2 linked regions of the Pelodiscus sinensis genome follow. The protein of the gene in region 1 purifies or fractionates together with the protein of each later gene. This does not show direct contact. Links are inferred from orthologs where the notes say so. Each region holds a gene or a part of one and is shown on either strand. Other genes may lie near its edges.

Evidence for each region. The genes of interacting proteins can lie anywhere in the genome.
Region 2: the proteins of PTPDC1 (region 1) and PPP2R2A purify together in Homo sapiens (affinity purification with mass spectrometry; 4 studies listed by BioGRID and IntAct, counting the BioPlex papers as one, with this or other methods). This does not show direct contact. The link is inferred for Pelodiscus sinensis from reciprocal best matches to the Homo sapiens genes PTPDC1 and PPP2R2A.

Annotation. Positions count from the first base shown.
Region 1 is NC_134721.1:50,157,737-50,165,654, forward strand, and holds the start of PTPDC1 (protein tyrosine phosphatase domain-containing protein 1), read right to left. Parts: upstream 3,081-7,918; 5' UTR 1,856-3,080; coding exon 1,642-1,855; intron 1,068-1,641; coding exon 896-1,067; intron 100-895; coding exon 19-99; intron 1-18. UniProt on the Homo sapiens protein: May play roles in cilia formation and/or maintenance.
Region 2 is NC_134738.1:8,923,538-8,931,196, forward strand, and holds the start of PPP2R2A (serine/threonine-protein phosphatase 2A 55 kDa regulatory subunit B alpha isoform), read right to left. Parts: upstream 3,073-7,659; 5' UTR 2,988-3,072; coding exon 2,951-2,987; intron 2,213-2,950; coding exon 2,135-2,212; intron 1-2,134. UniProt on the Homo sapiens protein: Substrate-recognition subunit of protein phosphatase 2A (PP2A) that plays a key role in cell cycle by controlling mitosis entry and exit. Involved in chromosome clustering during late mitosis by mediating dephosphorylation of MKI67.

The sequences.
Region 1 (7,918 bases):
TCTAGAGCAATTCATTACCTTTGAAACTGTTCAATAAGATTATACTTCTCAATAACTTCTGTTGAGGGTCGAGCCATGGCCAATATGTTATCTGTTATCCTGAAAAAATAAATTAATAATTTGGATGGATATTTCATTGTGATGATTTCCTGGGTAAACTACCAAAATATATAGTTGGTTTTCATTATCAGGAAGCTACCTGTAATTAGCAAAGTGCATTTATAACTTTTTTTTGAAAATTCTTTCATCAGTTAAATGACATGCTTTATAAATTCCACTGAAACAATTAAGTTACATAACAATATACCATTATTAGAGGTGCTCAGATATCATAGTAATGAGCACATTATTAAAACTTCAGTAGATGGCACCCAGACCATAATTTCTGTGTTCCTATTCAAAGACATTTTATATGTTTCTTCTTAACTAATTTTTACAAAATGTCAATATTAATTTTAAAATACATTCCAATGACCATACAGTATTGAAAAATGCTTTAATTGAATCTATACTTATTATCTTCATTAACATGTTTTGATTAATTTTAATCTAAACTCATGAACATATTTTAACTTAGCTATATTTAAATTTCAGGGCAAACTTCTATAGTTCAGAACAGTCATGTAACATGTTGACAGGCATTTATTATTTTGGATCTGAACCAATGCCCACTGAAGGCAATGAAAGTCTTTCATTAACTTCAATGAGTTTTGTATAAAGGCCTTTATGGCTTACTGCTAAGTATTAATTGATAACTGACCTTTTATTCCAGTACACACCGTATGTAACTTGGTAGTCTATATTTCATAGAAAAATACAATATAAATGTACTACCTTAAATTCTCTAACATAGCTAATAGTTTCACTAAGCTTAACTGTGAGTGTTACATATTACCAAGAAGAGTAAAGTCCTTTAATGGCTTGCTCTTGGACACTCCATCGAGCTGGGTTTTCATACTTGCAAGCACGTCCACCACATGCCATTGAACACTGCATATGGCCAGGAATGACATGGCGAAGGCGTTCCCCTACTTTAGTATATTTTGCAGTTGGACGCCTTGAATTTCCTACAAACACACACACAAACAGTAAATAGGATTAGCAAATTATCATCACTACCCTAAATGTAACACAGCATTTTAGGTTATTAAATTACAAGAATATAGTATATTAACTATTTTTCAAGAGATTTAAGTAGCAAGGATTCTCAGGAAATATCCCATTCTTTGCTTATATTAATGCCGAAGCTTATATTAGTACTGTTAATCATGACATCAGCTTGATTTTCTTCTTAATGAAATTATAGATATGTGATACCCTCCCTGATGAAGGAAATGTCACCTTTTATCTAGAAATGTAGAGCATGCCTGCACAAAGATACGTTAAGCTATCTTTTGTTTTCATTACTTTCTGAAACCAAGGTGTCAAACTGAAATGCTCTGCATGTTAAAAATAAAGTACAAATTAAACCCCGAGTAAGACATCAGTAAATACGACACATACTATAATAAAACAATTACTATAAAATAATTTTGAAATATTTATACATGCTTATATACTTCTGAACATCAGAACAAAGTTAGTACATCATAGCTATAAAACCCAAGTATGATTTTTGGCAATCATCTAGAAATACTTCACTTTTTTTCTCAGGAAAAGTTGCATTCAGCTCTTCAGGGCTTACAGATGATATGGCCACCATAACGCGGTGTGTAGATGATGAGAGCACCTCTACAACTGAGCTCCGGCGTCGCTGGAGTATGCGGAGAAGGGGATCAGAGGAAGAATGCCTCCGACCCTGAAAAAAGTTGCTAAAAATATTGACAGCTGAGCGCCTCCTAGGTGAACCCTCCATGATTATTCACCCTTTGCAACACTTTACAAATGCTGTAGAAAACAAACTGGATCTGAAATCCAACTTGCTCAATGCCGAAGTTACACAGAAACATGTATCTTTCTGTATGATCTAACAGCTAGTCAGGATAGGCTGAGCAATCTCCATAGTAACAAACAATGAAGCTACTGATGCCAGCTACCCTTGTGGCAGCTAAATTCTATATGAATTGATTCTGCTTGGGACAAACTGTTTCACTGATGATGAGAATAGCTGCATTTCAAGTAGATAATTCTGCAACTGGACTGGAGAAATTTTCCATAAACAAAATGAATATTTCAGTAAATTGCAATTATTGTACATTCAGCACACACTACACAGTATATTATATACCAAAATACAATCAAAATGTATTTTGAGCACTGCTTTCCTAGAAATCTGTAAGTACTCCCCCACTGATTAGTTTGTCAGTCCATTACCACCTTTTCTCCTCCACTTAGCTGCTCTAAAATGCACTGTTAGTTCTGTAATGATTGGAATTAGTGTGTTGCTATTGAAATTCAATACATGATGAATTGCAGCCTGCTCAATCGTGGACCATATATATCCACTAACAAAACACAGTTTGTTATTGAAAACAAAAGGTTTATTTTTTTCAGGGCAGAGCTTTTGATTAACTATGCCTCTTGGCTCTACTGGATTGAGGTAAAGCAGACTACTGGGAGATGTAGCCATATTATTTGATTGTTCAAAGCTTCAAAAGGTAGAAGAGGTAGTTATGGGGCTATGAACTGCCTCCACCTTTTCTTCCATGCTGGCCAGAAAGATTATGGCAATCTCAAAAATCACAGGGTGCAACCTTCACTTGCCTGGAGTAAGGATTGTAAAAACAATTTAAAATAATAGTTGTCTTGTCAATTCTGTTAGAGTGCAACTTGTAGATCTTGAAGGGCAAAATAGAGAAAAGAAAAGACAGAAGAAAAATCAGTATAACCTGACTTAATAAGTATGTTACTCCTGTTGTGCTCTCTCTGAGGGCTCTCAGTCCAGGTATGTGATTTCCATCTGATGTCACTGGGACTTGTGTATGTACCCACAGAAATCGATACCTCCCGAAGTTGAACTTTCATGATGAACCCAAGTACAGGCAGTCCCCGGGTTACGTACAAGATAGGGACTGTAGGTTTGTTCTTAAGTTGAATCTGTATGTAAGTCGGAACTGGCGTCCAGATTCAGCCGCTGCTGAAACTGACCGCCAGTTCTGACTTACATACAGATTCAACTTAAGAACCCCAAGCTCCCCAAGTCAGCTGCTGCTGAAACTGATCAGCGGCTGATTCCAGGAAGCCTGGGGCAGAGCAACTCTGCCTCGGGCTTCCTGTAGTCAGCGCTGGTCAGTTTCAGCAGCGGCTGACTTGGGGACACCTGGGGCAGAGCAGCTGGGGTGCTGCTGGGATGCTCCAGTAGCACCGCTCCTCGCTCCTTGGCGCTACTGGACCAACCCAGCAGCACCCCAGCTGCTCTGCCCCAGGCGTCCTGATTCAGCCACTGCTGAAACTGACCAGCAGCAGCTGAATCAGGACCTGGGGCAGAGCAGCTGAGGTGCTGCCGGGTTGATCCAGTAGTGCCCAGAGCGGCGCTGCAGGACCAATCGGCAGCGCCCCAGCTGCTCTGCCCCAGGGTCCACAACAAAAGCCTGGTCTGCTGGGGGGGGCACACTAGCTGCGCCCCCCCCCCCCCCAGCAGACCAGGGACACGGGGAGCAGAGCCGCAGAGGCAGCGGGGTGCCGCGCCTCTGAGGCTTCGCTCTGGCATAGTCTCAGAGGCAAGGGACCCCGCAGCGGCTGCGGCTTCAGTCCCGGTGCCTGTGGTCTGCTGGGGACGGTCCCCAGCAGACCACAGGCACCGGGAGCGAAGCCGCAGCAGCGGCGGGTTCCCGCGCTTCTGAGGCTTTGCTCTGGCAAAGCCTTAGAAGCCTGGGAACCCGCCACTGCTGCGGCTTCAGTCCCGGTGCCCCTGGTCTGCTGGAGATGGTCTCCAGCAGACCAGGGGCACCGGGAGCAGCTTACGAACGGGGCTTTCTCGCCCCGGAGCTCGCAGGCAGCAATCCGCCACCTCGATCTCCAGGGCGAGAAAGCCCCATTCGTAAGTGCGGATCCAACATAAGTCGGATCCGCGTAAGTCGGGGACTGCCTGTAAATAAAAAGTGGCTTTTTCTAGTTTTAAAATGTCAGGAAATGATCTCTCTCTTTTAGGTACAGACAAGAAGGACATGACTGGAATTTGAACAGATGTACCACTTGGCTAGTAAGGACTCACAGAGAGGTTTGATGCTGTTCCCAGGCCTACCACTTGCCAGTGATGGCAGGAGGGAAGAGGAACGTCTAAAATCTGCTCCCTTGGCTGCTGCTGTTGCCCAAGAACCTTTGCTACCCTGATCCAACCCAAATGCTCATATCAGGGGTGAGAGGAAGTATTGAGGCCTGCTCCTTAGCTGTTGTCCATGCATGTCTGCTACCAAACCATGCTCTCCTCAACTAATCACACGCCACCGTACAGCTGCTGCCTACAAGCCCTTTTTCTAAATCTGACATGTTCAAAAAAGAAAAACAAGCACTTTGAATTAAGCAGCATTCTAGACCTGAACGGCTGCTAAGGCAAGTTTCTGGGGTGTCTGTTATCGGGTGATCATAGGCTTTTTTTTTTGTTTGTTTAATTGCTGGATCTGTTGCCAACGACTACTTGTAGCTGTCCTGATGTTTGAAATTTTAGGAGTTATTTTTGTCTGGATAATGCACGAGTGCTGAGGTTTAAGTATCATTTGTGATTAACGGGTCTGTTTTAGAGATGGTTCAAATGCTGGCCACATCCAGAGAATATATCAAACTTTAGCTCATCAGTGATTTTGCTTTCTTAGATTTAATTCTGTATGAATCTTCATAAGTCAGCAACATTTTTCTCCAATATATGTCACATGCAAGAAAGTTATAGCGGAGCCAGCAGTGGATGAGACTGAGGTGTGCAAAATGCTGAATGCAATCACCCTTATTGACTTCCATGCCTCTTGGAAGTATTCAGCCAAATGTGTGAATCATAATTATTGCCAGTGTTCCCTCTAGGATTTTCCAACCATGATCGGGATGAGTTTTGGCTTGTGCACCAATACTGAGGTCATGTGCACTGGTTTGGATGTGTGCCACTGTGTCACCCAATTTATTAACACACACAATGTTACTATCCAGTAGAGCAGAAACCCCGCCCCCTCACACTCACCATGTGGCAGGTCCCATTCCCAGCCACTGGAGCAGACCTTGCCCCCCCCCCCCAAGCGGCAGGTCCCATTCCTGGCCCCAGCCACCAGAACATCACCAGAACAGGTCCCGTTCCCCCCGCCCCCCCGCCCATGTAGCAGCCCTGGCCACCAGAGAAGGCCCACCCAATGCCACACGTCACGTCCCAGCCCCAGCGGCTCCCTCACCACACTGTCTCAGCTAGCCCCACCCACCAGAGCAGCCATCTGCCACGCAGCTCTCCAGAGGAGGTGGGTGGGGGAAGAATTTTTTGTGCGCAGCAGTGCAGGCACGCAATGTAGCGAGAATATTATCGCCCATACAATTTTTAATATTTATTATTTTTGTGGTACCCCATGATGTCTAAGCAATTTCCAAAAACCAAAGATGGCACCATCCTCGGTCACAAGAATTTTATCACAAGAGAGCTAAAGGGAAGAAAAGCATGTCAAGGTGGTAACTGGTCATAGTCATGTTTGAATAACACAATGAATTATTTGTACTGCATGTACACACACATTATCCCCACCACCTAGCCATAACGGATATATATGGCTTTTTGGGGGGGTGGGGAAGGGACAGAGAGCAGGGATTCCTTTTTAAAACTCATCTAAACTTTCTTTTAAAAGGCATATTAAAGAAAATGATTACCTGAATTCATAGTTGAAAGATATGCACTGCTCTTTACCAGTGAACAATAAGGCAATTCATTTTGCAGCAAGACCCCTGCAGCCATTGCGGTACCTGTTGAAATAGTAACATGTTTATTGTACACACATCAGCGGAGACTTAAAAAAAATCACTGGAGGTTAGCTATGCAATACAAAAATACAGTTGAATAAGTTACATGTAGCACAGAGTGAGGCAGAGGCCTTGGGCAAATAGATACTGGCTGCACTACTCATTGTTACACAGTGGATTTAAACTGTAAGAAGTGACAAATTTCGCAGAAAATTCAAGCTCATACAACCTGCAATTTTAGTTCTGGAGCTCTGCTGAGTATGGACTCCAGAGCTGAACTTTTTATACAAATATGAGTCATTCAACAAAGGTCTTAGAATATTCAGTTCATTGCCATCTCAATTTCATCAAGTTCTCTACATAAATACACAACTATAGAGCAGAATCTTGTAAGAATGCTTTTTTCCCTCTAGCAGAAGCTAATGAAATCATATGCAAACTGGATACGACCAGACTGGGTCTGAGACTGGGAGTGACAAACTCACTACAAAAAATAATTTTCCCTCTTTTGGTATTCATACCTTCTCATTCACTGTTGGATGTGGGCCGCATCCATCCAGACTGAACTGATTTCGCTAGCACTGGTCCTCCACATAGTAATGTAACACCCACATCTTTGCATACACACACTTACTGATCTGAAGTCTCCACTTCGTGATTCTGATGAAGCATGTTCCAGCCCAACGAAAGCTTATGCCCAAATAAATGTGTTAGTCTTTAAAGTGCCACAGTCCTCCATGCTGTTTTTCATGAAATCAACGTGGCAGCACTGTTTCTAGATCAGAAACTTCGTACTTACAATTTTAATTACTTTGCATTTTTTCAAGATACACTCATGAACATGTGCTGTTAATCATCCACAATAGCATTCATAATCACCATAATTAAGCACAGAAATCAGGTGATGGATCTGAACAAACTTCAGGTTATTTTTGCCATATTTGCAATTACAGAAACCATATTTTGGAAAAGCGACGAGGAGTCCTGTGGCACCTTATAGACTAACTGAAGTGTAGGAGCATAAGCTTTCGTGGGCAAAGACCCACTTCGTCAGATGCATGCATCTGACGAAGTGGGTCTTTGCCCACGAAAGCTTATGCTCCTACACTTCAGTTAGTCTATAAGGTGCCACAGGACTCCTCGTCGCTTTTGCAGATTCAGACTAACACGGCTACCCCTCTGATACTTGACATATTTTGGAAGACACTTCTCCATTTAAAAAGTTTGGTATCTGAGATCTTGCCAACATGGAGAAGGGATTTTTGCTATAACCTAAGCTGTGAATTTAAACCAATACATTTCTATTAGCATAAATGCCCACAGGGACACCCTTATCCCAGTGTCAAAGTGTTTATCCTATTTAGCTTACATCCCCTAGTAAGTGGTTTACACAAATACAAAAATACTTTAAAACAAGCATAAAAGCGTCCATATAGGATGTTACATTGGCAGAACAGTTAAAACTCCCATGCAGACAAGCCTGAAGACCAAATTCTGCAACAATGCTTTTAGGATTCAACAGCATTAATTAAGCTGCCTTGAAGTACAGGAAATTTACTCAAAAGGTGTTAAGGGGGTGAGGTGGTGAAGCAGCCCAAGCCTATGTGTTTGTAAGGTGTTAATTGCTTGTTTTTCCTGGTCCATTGTTTAATTTATGCATATTTTGTATAATTGGTTTAAAAATATAGACTTAAAACATCCTCAGTGTGCATTTATCAGTTCAATGTAGCTCTGTCTGATTTCATAATGGAGTAAATCAGACGTATCCCCAATAAAGACAATGGGCCTGCTTCTCATTTACAGTAAAGCCATTTTAAAGACCTTTACTGCCAAAGCAATGTAAAGTGGACATAAGTTACATTTACCAACATTTTAAGGAAAAACTTAAAAAATAACAATAGACTAGTAGCACCTTAAAACTAACAAAACATGTAGATGGTATCATGAGTTTTCATGGGCAAAACCCACTTCTTCAGATGACAGGAGTGTTAGAAGTCCAGATCCAAGAATAAATAAGGGAAGGAGGGAGGGGGAGAGAAGGAAAAAAAGAGAA
Region 2 (7,659 bases), on another chromosome or scaffold:
AATTCCCACTCAACAAAATCCACTATGGTCGGTTAGCCCCATTTAATTTTCCTAGGACCTTACTTAGGCAGCTATTCCAGTGTACATCTCGACTACAAAAAATCCCTGTCTTCAAAATCCCAGTCTTCTTCTCCCCCATTGAACACTAAAAAAGCCTTTCCAAAAAGATGATATAAGCTGACTATGAAGTCATACTCTTGTCTCTATCTAGAAAAAGCTTGTACAATGAGCAACTCAGATCCTTTTTACAATTAAAACCAGATATTTATACAAAAATTTGTTAAAAGCAACACAGTCATGTTGAAATGCAAGTTAGTTAGGGCAGGGTTTCCCAAAGTGTGCTCTGTGGAGCCCTGGGGTCCAGCAGCTGCTTGAGAAAATATTAACAACAATTGTATGACCCTGTTATTTTGTCACTAATTTTCTGATATATATTCCCCCCCCTTCAGAAAATTAAGAAATAAACAAGAAATAAAAACAGAATTTCTAAACTTTGTCTGTCTATCTGGGTACCTATTAAATTAAAAATCATTAAATTTTAAGGCTCCACAAAATTTTCAGGACCCATGGAGGCTCCCTGGCTGAGAAAGTTTGGGAAACCCTGAGTTAAGGTATTGTGGCTAGCTATTGCAGCTGTCAGGAAGTTAAATCATCTTTCATACTCAGTGTAGGAACTATAATATTTAAGAACCAAGAGGGGAAATTAAGAAATAAGTCTGGCTCTTGGATTTCCAGATCTTTGGAAGAGCCATTTAATCACAGCTGTTTACTACAATACAAAAAAAAATCCCACCACACCCACACACGCAACACAAAAATTCACCCCCATAAAAACCTTATTAACAACTACCACCCATTACTATATGTAACGGAACAGATGCCTGAACATAAAAGGAAAAGCTCTAATATTCTTCCGTCCTGTTCATAGGATTCATCTATCAGTGGAAAATAGGCAGAGTCAAGATTTCCTCAATTGTTTACATTTAATTCAAAAGCCAGGTAGCTACAGAATACCAAACAAAATCCATAAAAATTGAAGTCTGGTAGGAAAAAAACTATACAACCATTATCTAAATTGCCATTAACATTCAATCTTGAATGCTAATTGCTGAACAATTTAAAATATATCCATCTTAGGCAAAATATATTAGAAGTTATTGAAATCTGTTACAACCTATTTGTTTCTAAAGCCTTTCAGTTGCTAAGCATCACACAAAACTTTTGAAGAGCACCATTTCCAGATATTTCAGAGGCAGATGGCTCCATGGGAGCGGGTACATGCACAGGGAGGCGGCTCTGTGGGAGCTGGTACACACGGAGAGCCAGTTTAAAAGCCAGCTCCCTGCATGCACCAGCTCTCGCCACCCCACCTATGCAGCCGCGACAGGTGAGGGGAAGGACTGTGTGTAACTGTGCATGTTAACTCATGAGCCCAGGCTCATGGATTAACCATGTACACATTCACATCCCTAACAGGAACCTTATACTACGAAAGTGTAGAGGCAGTTTCCACTAATAATTCATCATGAAAAATAACTGATACTTGAAAAGCTTGTACAAAAAAAGCTTGTAATTCTGATTTATAAATCAGCATGGAAAGACTGGGAGATGTTTTGCATAGTGTCAGATACATTACATCTTCAAGGTGCTGTGCAAACATTCTTTAGAGGGTTGTTGCGAGAATTTATGAAAAATATCATTATTCCCATTTCACTGATGGGGAAAACAGACAAGTTAGTCCCTCAGTCTCAATGGCCATTACGTGTCATGTGACAGATATTTTGGAAAACAAGTTAACTAGTGTTGCAATCTATGGGGCAAATTCAATTCTAACAAACAGCAGGAGGACCAGGGATATCAGCTGAATTGCACTTCTACCATATACAAATCGGATCCCAGAATATACTGGAATGACAATGTTTCTACTTGCTTTCCTACTTCGCTAAAATTATCTCAGAGGGGTAGCCATGTCAGTCCATAACTTCAAAAACAATGAGTGGTCTTGTGGCACTACTGATTTGGCTAAAATGACGTTCAGTAAAACCCAGTTTTGGAGGAAATACTTCAGCAACACCCTTGCTAAGTTTAACCAACAGCAATCAGATGTAGTCACTGTGAAGAAGTTTGTTCTTACCTTCTGCTACATCATCATCTACAGCCCCTTTCACCTGAGAAAAACACCACTGAATGTCATTCCCTCCTCCTCCAGCTCCTAGAGAAAGCAAAACAAATAATTGATTCCAGTAAACGGAGATGGTAGCCACCGCTGGCAAGTGACACAATTTAGTCAGTACTGGACACACCTACAACAATCAAAATTTCTTATGCAAAGACATAGGTTCCAAAACTTGATTACAAACTGTCTCTCTGCAACTCCACCACCCACCGCCTCCCCGCCCTGACAATGCTTTTGCCCGTGATTTGCCCAATATTTAAAGCAACATCTGTCAACAGTAATGATAGAATGACAAAAGTTGCTCTTTGTAACTGATGAAAAAACTCACAGAACTATCAAAACAAGCACGGCTAGTGTTAATAAAACTACGTTATGTTAAAAATGAGCAACAGCTGGTATATTTCACAACACTTTTTTAATATAAAAACTTCAGTGCCCTCTAAAACATAGAGCACTTCACTTACAAGGGACTTAAATTTCAAAGTAAAATATTAGGTGCGAGAATGGCCCTAACAAGTTTTCCAAATATTTCAAATAATTAAATGTTGGCACTTTATAAAAAAAAAAGGAAACAATTTTTCTTTTGCAAAATACTTTATACCGCTTAAGTACTTCAGACTAGAGGAAACAAGTTTTAAAGCAAGTTTATAAACCTCTTCCCTCCTCTGTCGTAATAGTAGCTAAAGAAATTGTCAGGCTTAGATTTTTTTAAAAGCAAGGAATCTGTGCAGCAAACTGAACAATCTGCCTTAAGCTAACAGCAAGTATAACTACCGTAGAAAATGGGTCGAAGAGAAAACTTCAGGAACATTACCACCTCCGCAGAAGGTAGTGATTCATTTGAACCTCACCACCCAAAAGCACACAAAAAAAATCCACCCCTTTCTTTTGCATTTCATTCTTAGCAAATCACTGGGCTGGGGTCCAGACAGGAAGAGAAATTGAAACAAGTTTGCTCTGTCTGCAAGAGGATATCAAAATGGAAATTCCTTCTCAACCCACAACCAAAAAAGAACAGATGTATCTTGTGAGGCATTAATGTGATGCAACATTTTTGGGGAACAAGAGGGGACATGCAGGAAGGATCCTTCCCTACCCCACCCACACCAAGTTGAGGAACAAATTAACTTAAGTTCAAGTTAGCAACAGCAGGATGATCCCTCTCTCCATGAGGGATCAAGAGGCTGCTCGGGCAAAGAGGGCATGGGGAGGCGGAGGAATAAACCAAAAAGGATTAGATTGTAATATCTTTTTGGAGCTTCTTACAAAGTCCAAGAATTAGGAAAGACAACGTGAACTAGAATCAGCCAAGGTGATGGGGAAATCTTATCATGATATCAATCTACACCAGTGTTTCTCAACCAGTGGTACGAGTACCCTTAAGGGTACACAAGAGAAGTCTGGAGGGGGGTACGTCAACACAACTGAAATTTGGAGAAAACTGAATTTTTTTAAATTTTACAGTGCTTTATTATTTTTGTACTTTTTACACCCAAAAATTTCATTGCCCGCCTGGCTACGATTAAGTTGTGTAAATAAATGTCCTGCAATGGTAGAAAAAAAAGTGTGTCTGAAATCTGTAGGTACTGGGGGTACTTATACATGTATCAAAAACAAATATTGCAGTTCATATTGTAAAGATCAGCGTTTCTCAACCTTTTTTTTTTTAAGTACCCCTTTAAAAAAATATAACTGTAGGTACTGGGCGTACTTTTTTTTTTTTTAAAGGGGTACTTAAAAAAAAGGTTGAGAAACGCTGATCTATACAATATGAACCGCAATATTTGTTTTTGATACATGTATAGGGAAAGTATCCCACTTTCAGCATCTTTCACCAACCATCCAAAACCCCTATCCATCCAATTTCTCCTCTCCCCCCTCCCCCCATCTGTATTTGACTCTTACTTTTAACACCATGGAAAAATTTTGAGAATGTCTGTTTGCAAGAAAAAACATTATATGCTGCAAACTGTATTTTATTTTTTATGCAACTTGCTACATTAAAGGCCTTGTTTCAGCAGATTCAAAAGGGTGGAGTGACATAGCCTGGTGTGTGTGCGCGTGTGGGAAGCAAGGTGCAAACCTAAATACTGCCTCTCATGCTGCTCTAGAAAATGCATGGCACTGAAGAGGCAATTAATTTGCAGAAGGGGGAAATGAACATATCACCACAAGAAAGAGACAGGGACATCCTATGCATGTGGATAATTTTTATCTTCCAAATTGCTCTTTAGGATGCAAGATAAACAACCTGAAAAATGGAGAATGAACATAAATCTCCAGAATTAAGAAAATTAGACATACAACCACCATGCATTATTGCACACGCTCAGAGAGACTTGAATTTTCTAAGAAACTACATCCTCTTCCCAATTTCACCTTTCTCTGCAGCTACCCACATAGCTGCACCCGACAGTAGGGTGCAACTGCACTCTAAACACAATCGCATCTGCACCCTACAGCCACTCTCCTGTACAGATCTGCACCCCCTTCAACACAACACATACGTGCAATTTCCTCGCAAAACCAGAAAGTCTGGGGAAGCCAAAAAAAAAGACACACCCAGCTTAGAAACCTCCTAACACGCTGAACTTCAGAAATACAAGGCTTTTTCCCCCAGACCTCCATCCACCTTCTTCCTTGTGAAACACAAATGTGTTGCAAGCAGGGAAGCAAAAGAGGGGAAGGAGCACAGATTTCTAGAAGGGGAAAAAAAAATAGGACAAGCGTATGCAATGCAAAGGGCACTTCAGGATTCAAGGTTTTAGGAATGCAAATTTTTTAAAAAGGAGGAAGAGAAACCGAGCCCACACTCCGAGGGAGGAATAGCCACCAGAGAGAGGGAAGGAGGAAAAGGAGACCGAGGTGCCCAGCAAGTCCATGCCACCTCCACGCACAGCAGGCAGCAGCAGCTCAGCGTGGCTGGCTGATTCAAGGCCATTTTAGCGGCCTCGCCTGCCCCTCCACAGACCTCCCCCCGCCCCCTGGGCTCTGTGGGCAGCGGGGGCCGGCCCCCGGGAAGGAGGGGGCTCGCTCCCCCTTACCTGCCATGTTGGGCTCCCGAGTGGCCGGGTCGGAGAGAGCGGCCTCCCGGCTCTCCAGGCGGCCCGCTGCGCCGGGCGGGTGGCGAGCGTGGAGGGAGGATGGCGGCAGATTGTCCCCCGGGGGGGGGGCGGTGCGAAGCCGGCTCCGTTCGGCTTCCCCCGCGCTCTTCGCGTCGGTCTTTCCTTGCCAGCCCGCCCCCCCCCCCTTCTCGTTCCAAGCTTCCAGTTTCAAAATGGCGCCGGCTGAGCTGGGGGGGTGACGTCACTCGGAGAGGGGTAGGGGCGGGGTGAGAACTCCAGAGAGAAGGGAGGGGACAGGAGGGGCGTCCGGGGAAGACGGTTGGTTCGGTTGCGTCCGCGCCTGCGGCTCTCGCTGGCGCCTCTCGGCGAACTCCTGCTCACCAGCCCCGTGCGCTGTGCTCACTGCACCCTGCACATCTGCCCAGCTGTGCCCCAGCTCCTGCCGGCTGGATCCTCGCTGCACCCGCACATCTGCCCAGCTGTGCCCCAGCTCCTGCCAGCTGGAGCCTCGCTGCACCCGCACATCTGCCCAGCTGTGCCCCAGCTCCTGCCGGCTGGAGCCTCGCTGCACCCGCACATCTGCCCAGCTGTGCCCCAGCTCCTGCCAGCTGGAGCCTCGCTGCACCCGCACATCTGCCCAGCTGTGCCCCAGCTCCTGCCGGCTGGATCCTCGCTGCACCCTGCACATCTGCCCAGCTGTGCCCCAGCTCCTGCCGGCTGGATCCTCGCTGCACCCGCACATCTGCCCAGCTGTGCCCCAGCTCCAGCCAGCTGGAGCCTCGCTGCACCCCCACATCTGCCCAGCTGTGCCCCAGCTCCTGCCAGCTGGAGCCTCGCTGCACCCGCACATCTGCCCAGCTGTGCCCCAGCTCCTGCCGGCTGAATCCTCGCTGCACCCGCACCTCTGCCCAGCTGTGCCCCAGCTCCTGCCGGCTGGAGCCTCACTGCACCCGCACATCTGCCCAGCTGTGCCCCAGCTCCTGCCGGCTGGATCCTCACTGCACCCGCACTTGTGTGCATTGCACCCGCACATTTGCCCAGTCGCACCCACTGCACCCGTGCTATCCCCACGGTTTGCCGGCTGCATCCTCACTGTGCCCGCTGTGCCCACTGCACCCCACCTCCTGGGTCCTCACTGCACCCACACATTTTCCCAGCTGTGCCCACTGCACCCCACCTCCTGCCAGCTGGGTCCTCACTGCACTCACACATCTCCCAAGCTGTGCCCACTGCACCCGCACTACCCCACCCCTGCCTGCTGCATCCCAGCCCATCCCAGCCACACATCTTCCCAGCTGTGCCCACTGCACTCAGACCTGTCCCCACTTCCTGCCAGCTGCATCCCAGCCAGGGGTGCTGGAACAATTTTTAGTGGGGGTGCTGACAGCTGTTGTACCAAATTGGAAACCCTGTGTATAATGGAAACCACTTCTAGCTAGGGGATGCTGCAGCACTCCTACACCCCTAGTTGCCACACCTATGGTCCTAGCCATTCCCACCCACTGTATTCACTATACCGGCACATCTGCCCAGCTGTGCCCACTGCATCTACATGCATCTCCACCTCTTGCTAGCTGCACCTCAGTAAGCTGCATTCACAAATCTCCCCAGCTCCTACCACTCTACACAGAACCTGCACATCTGCTCAGCCCTTCCCATCAACTGAATATCCATCAACTTCTCTGCTCCCTGTGACCACTGCACCACACCTCCTCCTAGCACCTGCCACAAACATTCATTTCTCCTACCCCCCTGCCCTGTCTCCATCAACTATGTTCCCTAACAGGGCATACCCACTTATTGCTGGGCACACTGCACCTCCACCTCTGATCAACCGCTGCTTGCTACTTCCCTGTGCCTGTCAGCACCAGCTGTGCTCATTTCTCTGGCCAGCACTTGCCATCTGTGCTGCACCCACAACTGTACCCAGGGTCCACTAGCTGCTGGAGAAAAGGTTCTGATTTGGGCTCCCTTTGATTCATGTTACAAATTAACACGGCGCTTTAAAGAATTAGCACCATATTCTCTAAAGAATTCGGGTATAAACCCCATCCTGGGGAGGTTGTGTGTTTTATTTGTGCTGTTAGATGTATCGCATTAAAAAAGGCCTGGAATAGATTTCAGCATCTGTGCCCGAGAAAGCCGCCTTCTCAGTGCACCAATCATTTCTGTCCTAAACTATTTGTCAAAGTATTTCTCAGCCCCATTCCTTATTTCAGCCAGATGTTGAGTCTTCTCTGTCTCTCTTCACTCCTCTGATGACATTCCTCATTCAACTTACCCAGTATTTCTCTGTTCTAGCCACACCCCCCGTTTGAATGCTCTCCCCTCGCCCCCACCTCAGGATGGTTTCCACGACATCTGTAGCCTTTTAGTTCATATTTTACTAGATAACCCTTCTCCGTTCTCATTGCTATT